Lonchura striata: one gene and its partner. The protein of the gene in region 1 purifies or fractionates together with the protein of each later gene. This does not show direct contact. Links are inferred from orthologs where the notes say so. Each region holds a gene or a part of one and is shown on either strand. Other genes may lie near its edges. The genes, in order: CASP3 and CRYAB.

Region 1 (6,271 bases):
TGAAACTGAGTGTACTCAAAGGTATTCAAACCTTTAACAAGCTGGATCCACAAGGCAAATTTAAGTATTTAAATATTCTTGTGGAGCCCTGAAGCCCAAATTTTAGATCCTCTCATTTCCCCCTCCAGGTTTTCCATAGCAAATCTTCCTGGAACAGTTACATTTCTGCCCACTGTTGAAGCCTGCCAATGTCTTGATAGTCAGTGCCTGAATGAAGTCTAAGTAACAGAATGTTTTTTCTGTAACAGGGGTCAAACATATTACCTCTATCCCCCTTGTCCATCTTCTGACCTGTGCATTTTCTTCACTCCTTTTCTATGCTCTTAGTTTCTTCTCTGGGAATTAAAAGTTAGATTATAGATAGCAATCAGCATTTCTCAGAAGTGCTAACAAAACTTTCAGTTTCATTTTGGCGCTGCTGGCTGTAAATTAACTAGGTGCAAAAGAAATCCCTACATCAGCATTTTCCCACAAGGTGACCATTAAAAAATGAAAGCAAAGGAGAAGCCCCATAATTCTTTATTAATTTTAAACTTTCTAGTTACATTAGGCCGTATTTTTGCAGAAACACAGCTGGGAGGACCTGAACCTGGGAGAAGAGTGATGACCCTTACTTTCAACTGAAACTATCATGGTTCTTGCAGTCCAAACACTCGATATCTCAAGAGTCCAACATGTCAAGTCTTTTCAAGGCAATTTCAATTCCTGTGTGAGCTATAACACAACACATCTACTTAGAGCACATACAGTTAACACAGATCAGCCTTCTGAGTTCACTGGGAAATTCTCACTTCATCTTCCTCTCTTATGTCCCACCAGAAGTAAGGGCAGTACTTATTTTTGTTTGACTTGACTGAAAGAAATCTTGTCACAAACATGTTTGGACTTCAGTGTTATTGACTCAGCAGGATGACTGCATGAAGAGCCTGGAAAAAATGTCTCCTGAGCAATGATTTAAAGAACTTGCTGTTTAATTTTCTCTATTTTATGGAAGACTATTCTCCCTTTACTTCTTATAACAGCAAAACGTATTACACACACCTGCAGCTCAGACATGCAAATCAACTGCTACTCAAAATAACATTACACTTGTTTCCTGGCTGGTGTGTACCATGCAACATAGTTCTATGGCAGAGTTCATGGTCCTTGACAAAAATAAATCCATGAGATTTTCTCCCAGCTACTGATTCAGCCTTAGAAGAACACATTAAATTCCTTAACATTAGTGAAAATTAGCTATCCTTACATTCATCTGATGAATGTCACATTAACAAACGCTACTCATCTTCCCAATAACAAATGTTCATCTTGCCCTCCTAATAGAGGAAGTTGCCTCTACATTTACAGAATCACAGGATGGCTCAGGTTGGAAGGGACTACAATGGGTCATCTGGTCCAACTTCCCTGCTCAAGCGGGGTCATCCTAGAGCACATGGCACAGGATTGTGTCCAGTCAGTTCCTGAGTATTTCCAGTGGGGAAGACTCCACAACTCCTCTGGACAACCTGTTCCTCAAATTAAGATTGCAAGTGCAAAACTCAGTAGATCAGACCTGGTGATAAGACCTGAAAAAGTAGGTTAGTACCTGTTATCAGAAGCTGGAATACATAGCTTCCAATGTTATCTGACTTCTGATACTGAAGGTCAGTGTACAGATATGAAACTAACTGACCTGAAAGTTGATGAAGCCAAAATCAGGCCTCAGCGTCAGAGCGCTGTTGTTCTGCGAGGCAGGTCTGTGGGCAGCCAGGGACAGCCACCACGCAGGTGGGTGAAAACCCTGTCCAAGGGAAGGTACTGCCATGGTACAAGCCAGCTCATCCATGGGGATCTCGCTCACTGAGGTCAAGAGGGGGGGCTGCTCATTTAGTTATTGTCCCCACAGATTGCTCTAGATGGCCATTTCCTTTACAAACCACCATTCTGTCAGAATCACAGAACAGTCTGAGTTGCCACCGCCAACAGTCACACCATGTACCTGAGAATGTTGTCGAAATGCTCCTTGAACTCTGTCACACTTGGTGCTGTGACCAGTTCCCTGGGAGCCTGTTCCATTGCCCAACCACCCTATGGGTGATGTACCTTTTCCTATTATCCCACCTCAACCTCCCTTCACACATCTTCAGGCTGTTCCCTCGGGTCCTGTCACTGGTCACCACAGAGAAGGATCAGTGCCTGCTCACAAGGATGCTGAAGACCACAATGAGGTCTCCCCGTAGCCTCCCCTTCTCCAGGCTGAACAGACTAAGTGACCTCAGCTGCTCCTCCTATGGTTTCCCAACGAGGAAATGCCCTTCACCATCCTCAGGGTGCCCAGAACTGCACACAGCATTTAATATGAGGCCGCACCAACATGGTGTAATATACTAGAACGCTACATTTGTTTCAGCAGGCAGAGGAACTCAAGCAACAGCGCATCGTTCACACCCAAGAGCAGCAAGGACAGCCGTACCCGGCTCAGCGCTCCGAGCGCGGTGGCTCCGCCACAGGGCCCGGCCCCGCGAGCTCTGCCAGCAGAGCAGAGCAGAGCAGCCACCCCGTGCCTCCCCAGCGCGGCCTCGCACGTCTCCCTCCCGCCGGCAGAGCCCGCAGAGCCCGCCGAGCTGAGCCCGCCGGGCCCGCGCCGCTCCCCCGGCCCGACTCACGGCCCGCGCCGCCGCCGCCGCCGGTGCGCGCCGCCCGCCCAGCGCGGGGCGGGGCCAGCGCGGCGCCGGCGGGCCGGGCGGCGGCGGCGGGGCTTTCTGTGCTCGGGGCAGCGCTCGGCTGAGCGGCGCTCGGGAAAACGCGGCTCAGAGCGCAGCGAGCAGCCGGTGAGTGAAGCCGGTGAGGGGCATTGGTGCCGGGAAGCGGCGGTGCCGGGATGCGGGCGCGGCGGCGGAGCCGAACAAAGCCGTGGGGGTGGGGGTGGACCAAGCTGTGGCTCTCCAGGGCCGCGTGGCCGCCAGCATTTGTCCCGGAGGAAGTCGGCAGCGGGGAGCAGGAGGGGAGCCGCGTTTGGCCGGGGCGGGCCGGGCTGAGCGCGCCGTTCCCCCGTCTGCCCGCCGGGCTCCCGGCCCCGCAGGCCCGGCGCTCGGGCGGTGCTGGGGCGGGTGAGCCCCGGCCTGGCCCTCGGGCCAGGCGGGAGAGAGCGCCCGCGGCTCCATCCCAGCGCCCGCGGCTCCATCCCAGCGCCCGCCGTGCCATCCCAGCGCCCGCGGCGCCATCCCAGCGCCCGCGGCTCCATCCCAGCGCCCGCGGCTCCATCCCAGCGCCCGCGGTGCCCATCCCAGCGCCCGCGGTGCCCATCCCAGCGCCCGCGGTGCCCATCCCAGCGCCCGCGGCTCCATCCCAGCGCCCGCCGTGCCCATCCCAGCGCCCGCCGTGCCCATCCCAGCGCCCGCCGTGCCCATCCCAGCGCCCGCGGCTCCATCTCAGCCCCCGCCGCTTCCCCTGCCCGGGGGCAGAGCCCGGGCCTCCGGTGTTAGCTTTCCAGAAGCTTAAGGTAGCGAGTTTGTTCCCTTTCAGCCTGTCTTTGTGGGGACGCTGTAGAAACAGAGGGCAAAGAGAAGGGGAAAAAAAAGGCGCTGTAATTCTGAGCTGCTCTCTGGTGACCACTCGGTGGACCATTAACCGGAAACACGGGGTCAGAAGCTGTATTTGGATCTTCCGAAACAAAGCGTGTTAAACCTCGTCTGTACTGACGAAAAGCATGCCTGGGGTCCTGGCAGGCACTGTGGCTAACTTTTGGTAGCAGGCAACACGCCCTGACGTGTGTTGTGTCCTGCCTGTTCCCTGCTGGGCTGAAGGATAGGGCTGGCCATCTATCGTCTGTCTGTCTTTTACTCTGTAACTCAGAGCTCTCTCCTTCAGGTATCTGCTTGCCAGGGGGTAGGTTTCAAACTAGCACACCGTGCCCTTCATGTTAAGGAGCTGATATGGCTGTTGCTTATAGCAGTGTGATTATATATATATATAGATGTGATTAATAGCTACAGGTAAATTAATAACTCCAAGGTCCCTTCTACACTTGGAGTAATTTCAGCTGATTTTACAGCTTCATGCTGAGTACCTAAAAGTCTGTTTGTTGTGGAAGATCAGAATGCTGGCCCAGTGTCAGGACTTTCCAGCAACTACATCCAGACCAGAAGCAATGGGAAAAGCTGTCTCAGTATGGGCCTGCTTCCATCTTTGGTAGCAGTATTTAGCAGGGGGATAGTGTCTCACAGAAAATGTAATGCTGTATTTCAGATGTTTTTTGTTTTTTCATATAGTCTGCTTCTGTATCTTCCTTCTCTTATTAGTCAGATAATTATTGTTTAGCATTATACATTGTAGAGGGGAAGATTTTTAATTTGCATGTCTGCATTAGTATCATGATATGTCATGTATATGTTTGTCTACAAAAAATACCTTCTTTAAATGCTTGACATTTTCTCTTGCATTCATGTGATGTAGAAAACTGCCCTTTTCCTATCTTTAAGAAGATGTTTTACATTGCTGATGTCTGTTTTGAGCATGTTTTAGCAGTGCTATACTCATTGCTTTGTAGCAACAGATATATTCTGAACATGTGTTGTTTCCTGTGGTTTGCATATTTCAGGATCCAGTTGGTAACTAAAGACAGTTTAGTTATTTGCTTTCTCCCATCTCGGAAGCTTTGGTATTTTTATCACTATATATTTTTATCACATTTCTGTTGTTCTCATTTCAAAGAAATATTGCTTTAAAAAGAAAAAACTGATGGTTTTTATGGCCACCATAAGTAACCATGTGGTAACACATGATGATGTGAATTAATTTTCTTTAGGTCCAGGTGGAATAAGTAAATCCAGGCTGCAATGGAGTAAAAAGTTGTTTTATTTATTGTTTTCCTGTCAAAAGAAAAGTATTGGAATAACTACATTTATGTAGGGGAAAAAATCTTTTTGCTCTTATTGCTGTACAGAGATGAATTGGTCATTTCTTGGTAGCTTGCAGAACATAGCTTTGAACCTTTTTGAGACACTTTATTTCTTATTACCTAGTATATGTAAAGATCATTGTAGCATCACCTTTATGTTTGCTGTCTCTGTATCATGTTTTTTTTTAATTGTATTTTTTTTCAGACTCACTATTATAAAATAAGCTTCCTAAAATCTACAGAATATATTTTGCTAGATTATAAAAATGCTATTGCTCTTTTTAATAACTTGTTTATATTTCCTTACACTTGAAACCTCGTTTTACCTAAGCTTTCAGAGAAAATATCAAAGAGCAGCATAAAAATTTGTAATAAATTTTTAAAGCACTGCAATGATTTCTTCCCCCCACACCTCCCCTCACCAGGATGAGATCATCCTCCACAGGGAAATGCATGGCATCACTGCATTACCTAAAGCAAGATGAGGCAATTCTTACTGGCCTGTTAGAATCAGCAGCATCCTCCAGAGAGCATTGCTGTGACCCTGCTTCAGAGCACAAAATGCCCTGCTGATTCAGGCACGCATTTGAGTGCCTAGGGTGTCTTTTGTTCTTTAAAGAAGTGCAGGTGACCTGGTGCCTGAGGGTGCTCAGGAACTGATGGATATTAAAAGTGAGTTATGGATTCTGTTCTGAAGAGAAACTATGCACATTTCAAATACTTAACGTGTTATAACCAGTTTTTCTAGATAATCCCTATAGCTTCTGTAAAGTCTCTGAGACAAGCTCCAGTTGTGATGGAGTGCAGGAAGCTCTAACACTTCACTGAACAACTGTAACTGTAGACTCTGAACTAGGCTTGCAGAGTAAGAAGTATTTTTATGATACAAGTTGTGATTTAAATTTTTCAGAAAGAAACTAATATAATTGATTGGAATTGTAGGTTTTGCTAGCTACTTCTTCCAGTTTCATTGTTTCTTTGATGCTGGATCAAGAACAGCAGTTTTACAGCTTTAAAATTGAAGGTTGCTAAAGGGTCAAGGAGATAAGTTTTATTTTAAGGTCACTTAAATGTTGGAGATCTCTCTTAGTGTTTGCATCGTGCCTTTACATTTACGTTGTAAGCAGCATTCAGTGCTCGCAGGGGTCTGCAGTTTGCTTAGTTAAGGCTGCTGCTGTTCAGCAGTTTGGTTGGAGCACCTTGAAATGGACAGGGTCTATGCCTTTATTAGTGTTCAGCTCTTTATTAAAAAGTCAGCTCGGCAGGGGGGTGTTGTAGCTTTTCCGGTAGCCGAAGGGTGAGAAGGTGACAGTCTGTCCCTGGAGTCTCCGAGGCACGCTGGCAGCCGGAGGTGCAGAGGTGTCCAGTCTGTATCTGCAGTCCCAGCAGACC
Region 2 (6,271 bases), on another chromosome or scaffold:
ACCCAGAGCCACGTCCCTGCCAGCTGCTGCGTGCCACCGAGCTGCCCAGAGTGCCGGCGAGCCCGGGGCTGGCATCCAGCTTGACATGTTGGGCTGCATGGGGAGAACCTGGCGGGTGCCCTGGGAGCTCTGCAGAGCAGAGCCCGCAGCCAGGGGTGGGCATGGAAACTGCTGATGGTGAAGAAACCGCCCTGAAGGGCTAAAGGCCTTTTGTGTGCCATTGTCCACAGGGCTTTCCTTGGAGCTTTTTGCCTTTTCACGCTGTTGTGCTGGTGCTGAATGGTTCTGCTGCTGCCCACATTCCTTCCCCTGGGCCAGCCATGCCCAGCTTTGTGCTGAACGCCCCAGCTCAGCTTTTCTCCACATCCCCCCGGCTGGAAAAGCTTCCCCCCCTGCCCTGAGCTTTGGCTCCATGTTTGCACAGCATGTGCACGAATGCCAGAGCGTGGCTGGCATGAGGGAGGGACGGGACGGGCAGCAGTGGGCATGGATGGGGAAGTGGACATGAAGAGAGAGATCCTGGCTGTTCCCTGGCTATTCCCTGGCTATTCCCTGGTTATTCCTTGCTTATTCCCTGGTTATTCCTTGCTTTTTCCCTGGTTGTTCCTTGCTTTTTCCCTGGCTATTCCCTGGCAATTCCTTGGTTATTCCCTGTCTATTCCCTGGCTATTCCCTGGTTAATCCCTGGCTATTCCTTGCTTATTCCCTAGTTTTTCCCTGGCTATTCCTTGGTTTCTCCCTGGCTATTCCCTGTCTATTCCCTGGTTATTCCCTAGATATTCCCTGCTTATTCCCTGGCTGTTCCCCTCTGATTTGCTCTGGGTTCCTCCACTCAAAATTCCGCAGCTCCAGCTTCCCCCTCTGGAGCTCAAGCTCCCCAGTGGGAATTCCAGCAGCCCTCCAGCAGCAGAGGGGAGAAAGGTGCAAAGAGGGGGGGATCCCACCAACTTCCTTACCTTCTCCAAAGTTCTGGTCGTAGATCTTGCTGGGGTTGGCAAACTCGTACTCAGAGCTCATGGGGTAGGCGTGGGGCACCGTGCGGGCAGCCATGGCGTGTGCAGGATGGGCACCTTCCTTCTTGCTTTCCTTCTTTCCTTCCTTCTTTTCTTCTTTCCTTCCTTCTTTCCTTCCTTCTTGCCTTCCTTCCTCTTTCCTTCTTTCCTTCCTTCTTGCCTTCCTGCCTCCCTTCCTTCCTCCCCAGCCCTCGCTGCCTCTCCGAGTGAAGGCTGCAGGCTGCCAGGCTCCAGCTGGGAGGATTCCAAAGGGAGGAGGCAGTGATAAAAAAGATGGCCCAAAATAGCCCCGTGCAGGCCCCAGGACGCCGGGCCAGGGCGGCGAGGGAAGATTCTCACTGCATTCCAGCAGGGAGGGCAGGGGACACCTCGGGGACACCTTGGGTACACCTTGGGGACACCTCGGGGACACTTCAAGGACACCTCAGGGACATTTCAGGAACACCTCAGGGACACCTCAGGGACATTTCAGGGACACCTCGGGGACCCTCTGGGGGTCCCTTCTGGAGCAAGGGTGCATGGGCAGCCCAGCCCAGCACTCAGGGCTGAGGGAGCAGGACAGACCCCAGGCTGTGGCCACCGAGAGGCTCCTTGGGGTGGCTCAGGGAGCCCCTGGCACTGGAATCGGTGGCCCTGAGCCCCCGTGGGTGGCTGGGGCTTGTTCAGCTCAAACCCCTCCTGTTCCCCACGTAAGAACCCTGCTTTGCCCAGCTGAGCTCAACTCTTCTGCTCCTTTAGGGCTGCAGGGAGTGGAGCAGGGATCCAGGTGCCACTGCTGTCACCTCCCCATGCTGAGCCCTGCTGGCTGCCCAGCCTCTTCCCTTGGCCAGGCCACGGAGAAATGCTGCTGCCAGCCATCCCCAGCTCACCCAGGCTCCGAACCTGGCCCAAATCCAGTTTTGCTGAGCAGGGCTGGTGGGCTGCTGGTGCTGCAGCAGGGCAGGAGTGCCCAGCTGGGTTCTGCACGCCCTGAAACCAGAGATTCCCTGAGCCCTGCAGGGTGGGAGAGCAGGTGCAGTGCTGCTGATGTGACGGGGACTCGGAGAGGGTATTTATGGCCTGGGCTGCTGCACAGAGCAAATCCTGCCCTCTATTCTTGCAGGCAAGCCGAGAGGAAGAGGCTCAGAGCCTTTTGCAAAGGGTTGGCAGAGCTGGCAGTGCCTCTGAGCCAGAAACTGGGTTTAAATTGTGAGCTCTCACGGGCAGAGAAGCTCTTGCCCTTCAGCAGAAGCCAGGCTGAACCCATTCCTGTGATTTGGGCTCACGGGCGAGGCAGGAATTAAAGCAAATGCACGGATTTAGGAGCAGAGCTGCAGGAAAGCAGGTTAGGCAGAGGCAGACAGAGGTGCTCGGCACCCCTGGGTGCAGTACAGTGCCCTGGAGGCCGTGACCATGCCCAGCTTCTCTCTGGGGTCACAGCGTGGGGCTCTTCCCTCCAGAACAACGCGCTCCGCAGCGGCCAAAAGACAAGAGGTGCTGGTGGGGAGACCCATCCTTTATTCCCACACACCACGAGGGCGGCAGGGCTGCACCCTGCAGTGCCAGGATCCCAGCAGAGCCCTCCTGGCACCTCCCTAGCCCCGATTTCGGGGCTCCCTTTGCCGCCGGGACCCGGCGGGTGATGCTGGAGCCGAGTCCCGGGAACAAGGGCCCCTTGTCGCCGTCCCTGTGAGCCAAAGATAGGAGCTGCATTGATCCCGCTGGCATGCAGGGCAGCTGGAACACGGGCCAAACCCGCCCGGGACTGTGGACAAACAGCACGTGGGCAGCGGGGCGGGCGCCGGGCCACTGCGGCTTCTTGCTGCCCCATTGGGCTCCTCTTCTTCCTCTCCCCTTCCCCCTCCTCCTCCTCCTCCTCGGCAGCGTGCACAAATCCCTCAGACAGCTACTGGGCACCGCCGAAGGGCCCAGCCCAGGAGTGGGACAATAAAATCCCTGACACCACTGTTCAAGAGGCCTCGGGGGGGTGGAAGGCCAGGCCAGCTGCGGGGTATAAAGCTGTCCCCGCTCCCGGCACGGCACTGCAGCACAGTTGTTGGCCAGGCTCCTCCAGCGCTCTCCAATGGATATCACCATCCACAACCCCCTGATCCGCAGACCTTTCTTCTCCTGGTTGGCACCGAGCCGTATCTTTGACCAGATTTTCGGGGAGCACCTGCCCGAGTCGGAGCTGCTCCCTGTTTCCCCCAGCTTCAGCCCCTTCCTGATGAGATCCCCCATCCTTCGGATGCCCAGTTGGCTAGAGACAGGACTCTCGGAGGTAATCTTTGCTTCTTTGTGGCTGCTGGGGGCACAGCCTGCTGGCTCTGGAGGCCCAGGAGAGCTGAGAGCTTGGAAGATGCTCCTAGGTGTTGTTTTTTTTTTTTTAGGAGAAAGGCTGGGGGAAAAGGTGCTGTGTTTGCACCTCTGCATTGCTTGGGATGGAGCAAGTCTGGCCATAGCGATGGGAACAGAGCTCAGTGTGCGTGGCAGATCACCCTAGGAGCTGGCAGAGCAAAGGAGGAAGCCTAATTTCCCTAATTTCCCTAATTTCTCTAATTTCCCTAATTTCCCAACCCGCTGCACCAAACTTTCAATCCCACTCCCACATGAGAAGCAAAGAGCACGGGGGCAGTGGGATCCTCACGCCAATGGCTGCTGAGGGAAAAGGGGCCTATTTCAGACAATCCCTGCCCAGGAAAGCAGCTTTTTAATAAAATCCAGGACCCAGAGGATCATGGAGCAGGCGCCTACTCCCTCCAGGGGCTGAGCCAAGAGGCTTTTGCCTGTCCTGCAAGTCAACTGTCTTATTTGCAAGGAGCTTGAGGAGCTATTCCAAGCAGAAGGAGTGAAAGTATTATTTTAATCCTTGCATAATGTCTTTCTTGATTTAGTGACCTCGGTCTGGCTGCCTAGTGAAGCAGCCAAAATAAAGAGTCAGCTTTAAATAAAGAGGCAGTTTTAACCAATTCTGGTGGAGAATCTCAGGTCCTGAAGTGATGGGCATTAACACAAGGCCAGCAAGGGACAGAGCCACTCAGATCAGATCCCAAAATAAGGGTCAGTGTGTGTGTGTATGTGTGTGTGTGTGTAGAGACCAGCGTGAGTCTTGACCTACTGCATTCCTTTTTAAGCTGAAACCCTCACCTGATCTTCCCTGAAGTCACCTCCTGGTTTTTGCTCTTCTCTGAAGTCACCTCCCACTTTTTTGCAGATGCGACTGGATAAGGACAAATTTTATGTGAACCTGGATGTGAAGCATTTCTCCCCTGAGGAGCTGAAGGTGAAGGTGCTCGGGGACATGATCGAGATCCACGGGAAGCACGAGGAGCGCCAGGTACCCCCTGCTTTACCTTCACCACCGAGGGAGTCACTGTGAACTCCCTCCCCTCTGGTGACTGCCAAACAATCCCCTGCTCACCTCAAATATTTGTCATTTTTTTAGTCAAGGTGCTCCATGCAATTCCCCCCAGCTGATCCCAGACAGGGCAGCAAGAGGGTGGAGGTTTATTGCTGATGTTGCATGAGCTGTGAACTGAACTGGAAAATCATCTGTGAAATGGGCATTTTTGGGCTTCCCCTCTTTCTGGGAAGAGGCCAGGAATGCAGGGAGGCGTCCAACGAGCTAAAAATTAACTCTATCAATCAAGCCACGTAATGAATCCGTGCATTGCCCTGTGTGTTACCTTCCCCAGGCCCAGCTAGCAGTTTCTAATCCTTCAAAGTTGTGTTCTGCTGCCATCCATCCCTCTCCCTGCTGGCTCTGGAGACCTGTGTGGACACTGGGCAGGCAGAAACGCAAAGCCGTGCCCAGAGCTGGATGTACCAGCATTTTCCAGTCCCCAGAGCAGCTGTGTCCCTGGAATTGGCACCCCTAGGAGCACAGCGTGCCACCAGGGAGTGCAGTGCTCCCTGTAGCACTGGGGTCTGTGATCCTGGCACCTTCCTGGCATCCTTTTTGGGCTAAGATAAGCAAGCAGTGGGGTCAGGCTTTGAGGTCTCCGGGGCAGGTGTGGTTGTGGACAGCACCTCGGGAATGCCAGCACAGAGCTCAGGGCAGCCTCTGGCTGGCACAGGGGTTGATCTAGTACCGATATCCAACTGTGATGGACAAAAACTCTCTAACAGTTTAAAGTTAGAGAGTGAGTGTTTATTGTGTGTGGGATCGCTCCCAAATCCACATTGTGCCTTACAAGTGATTACAGAGCCCTTTTATCCATACAAGTATTGAATATTTAAAATATAAATACATATTCATCATTTTGGTACATCCCATTCCTCGCTTCCTATGCTAATCATTTCAAAAAGTTATTAAGCATGCATAATTTGTTTCTTGGAATGGGTCGGTGTCCCTTCCATGGGGAGGGGTCCCAAAATGAGGAAGTCAATGAAGTCTTCCTCCTTCTGACCTTTCTACCTTTTCAATGCCAACATGACAAATGAACTTTTGGTAGAACTCCCATTCCTTGTCTTCAGTTGGTTTCAGAGCAGAGGAGGCCCACAATTGTCTGATGTTCCTAAAAGCAATTTATCAGTTTATATTCTTCATTATAAACCCAGCTAACTCAACATTGTGCTGACGAGCAATCAGTTATTAGTTAACTACTAACTCTTAACTTCATCGAGGCCTACTCATTTATTTTAATTAACTCTAGTGAGGCTTATCTCTAACTAAAATCTTAGCTCCTCTAAAATCTCTAAATCCCTTAAAGTTTCTGTTTCAGGGTGGGCACAGAACCTCCCCCTGTAAACTCGGTGTACCCACAGGCACCTGCAGCCCAGGCAGTGTCCTGCTCTCCTTGAAGAGGACACCTCATCTCCAAAACCCTTTTAACTCCCTGAAAACTTCCCTTTGAGAGCCCCAACTCCCCATCCCCAACCTTGGAGCCAACACCCCGTGGTTAAAGCAGCACCGGGCGGGGTCTCCTTAATTCAAATAATCCAAAGGCTGCGCGGTGAGGATTTTCTCCTGGATTTTTTGGGTTTTTTTTTTTTGCTCAGGACGAGCACGGCTTCATCGCCAGGGAGTTCAGCAGGAAATACCGCATCCCGGACGACGTGGACCCGCTGAGCATCACGTCCTCGCTGTCGCTGGACGGGGTGCTGACCGTCAGCGCTCCCCGCAAGCAGAGCGATGTCCCCGAGCGCAGCATCCCCATCACCCGCGAGGACAAACCGGCCATCGCAGGCGCCCAGAGGAAGTGAGCGCTGCTCTGCTGGCCCCAGGCCACCCTGCAGGGCCATCCCACTGCTCCTTCCTCCGCCACGGGCCGGCTGTA

The links.
Region 2: the proteins of CASP3 (region 1) and CRYAB purify together in Homo sapiens (affinity purification with western blotting; 3 studies listed by BioGRID). This does not show direct contact. The link is inferred for Lonchura striata from reciprocal best matches to the Homo sapiens genes CASP3 and CRYAB.

What each region holds. Positions count from the first base shown.
Region 1 is NC_134606.1:31,975,408-31,981,678, forward strand, and holds the start of CASP3 (caspase-3), read left to right. Parts: upstream 1-2,698; 5' UTR 2,699-2,810; intron 2,811-6,271. Other genes in the region: PRIMPOL (DNA-directed primase/polymerase protein), read right to left, coding at 265-283. UniProt on the Homo sapiens protein: Thiol protease that acts as a major effector caspase involved in the execution phase of apoptosis. Following cleavage and activation by initiator caspases (CASP8, CASP9 and/or CASP10), mediates execution of apoptosis by catalyzing cleavage of many proteins.
Region 2 is NC_134625.1:9,469,782-9,476,052, reverse strand, and holds the start of CRYAB (alpha-crystallin B chain), read left to right. Parts: upstream 1-2,800; 5' UTR 2,801-3,075; coding exon 3,076-3,273; intron 3,274-4,206; coding exon 4,207-4,329; intron 4,330-5,993; coding exon 5,994-6,197; 3' UTR 6,198-6,271. Other genes in the region: HSPB2 (heat shock protein beta-2), read right to left, coding at 957-1,050. UniProt on the Homo sapiens protein: May contribute to the transparency and refractive index of the lens. Has chaperone-like activity, preventing aggregation of various proteins under a wide range of stress conditions.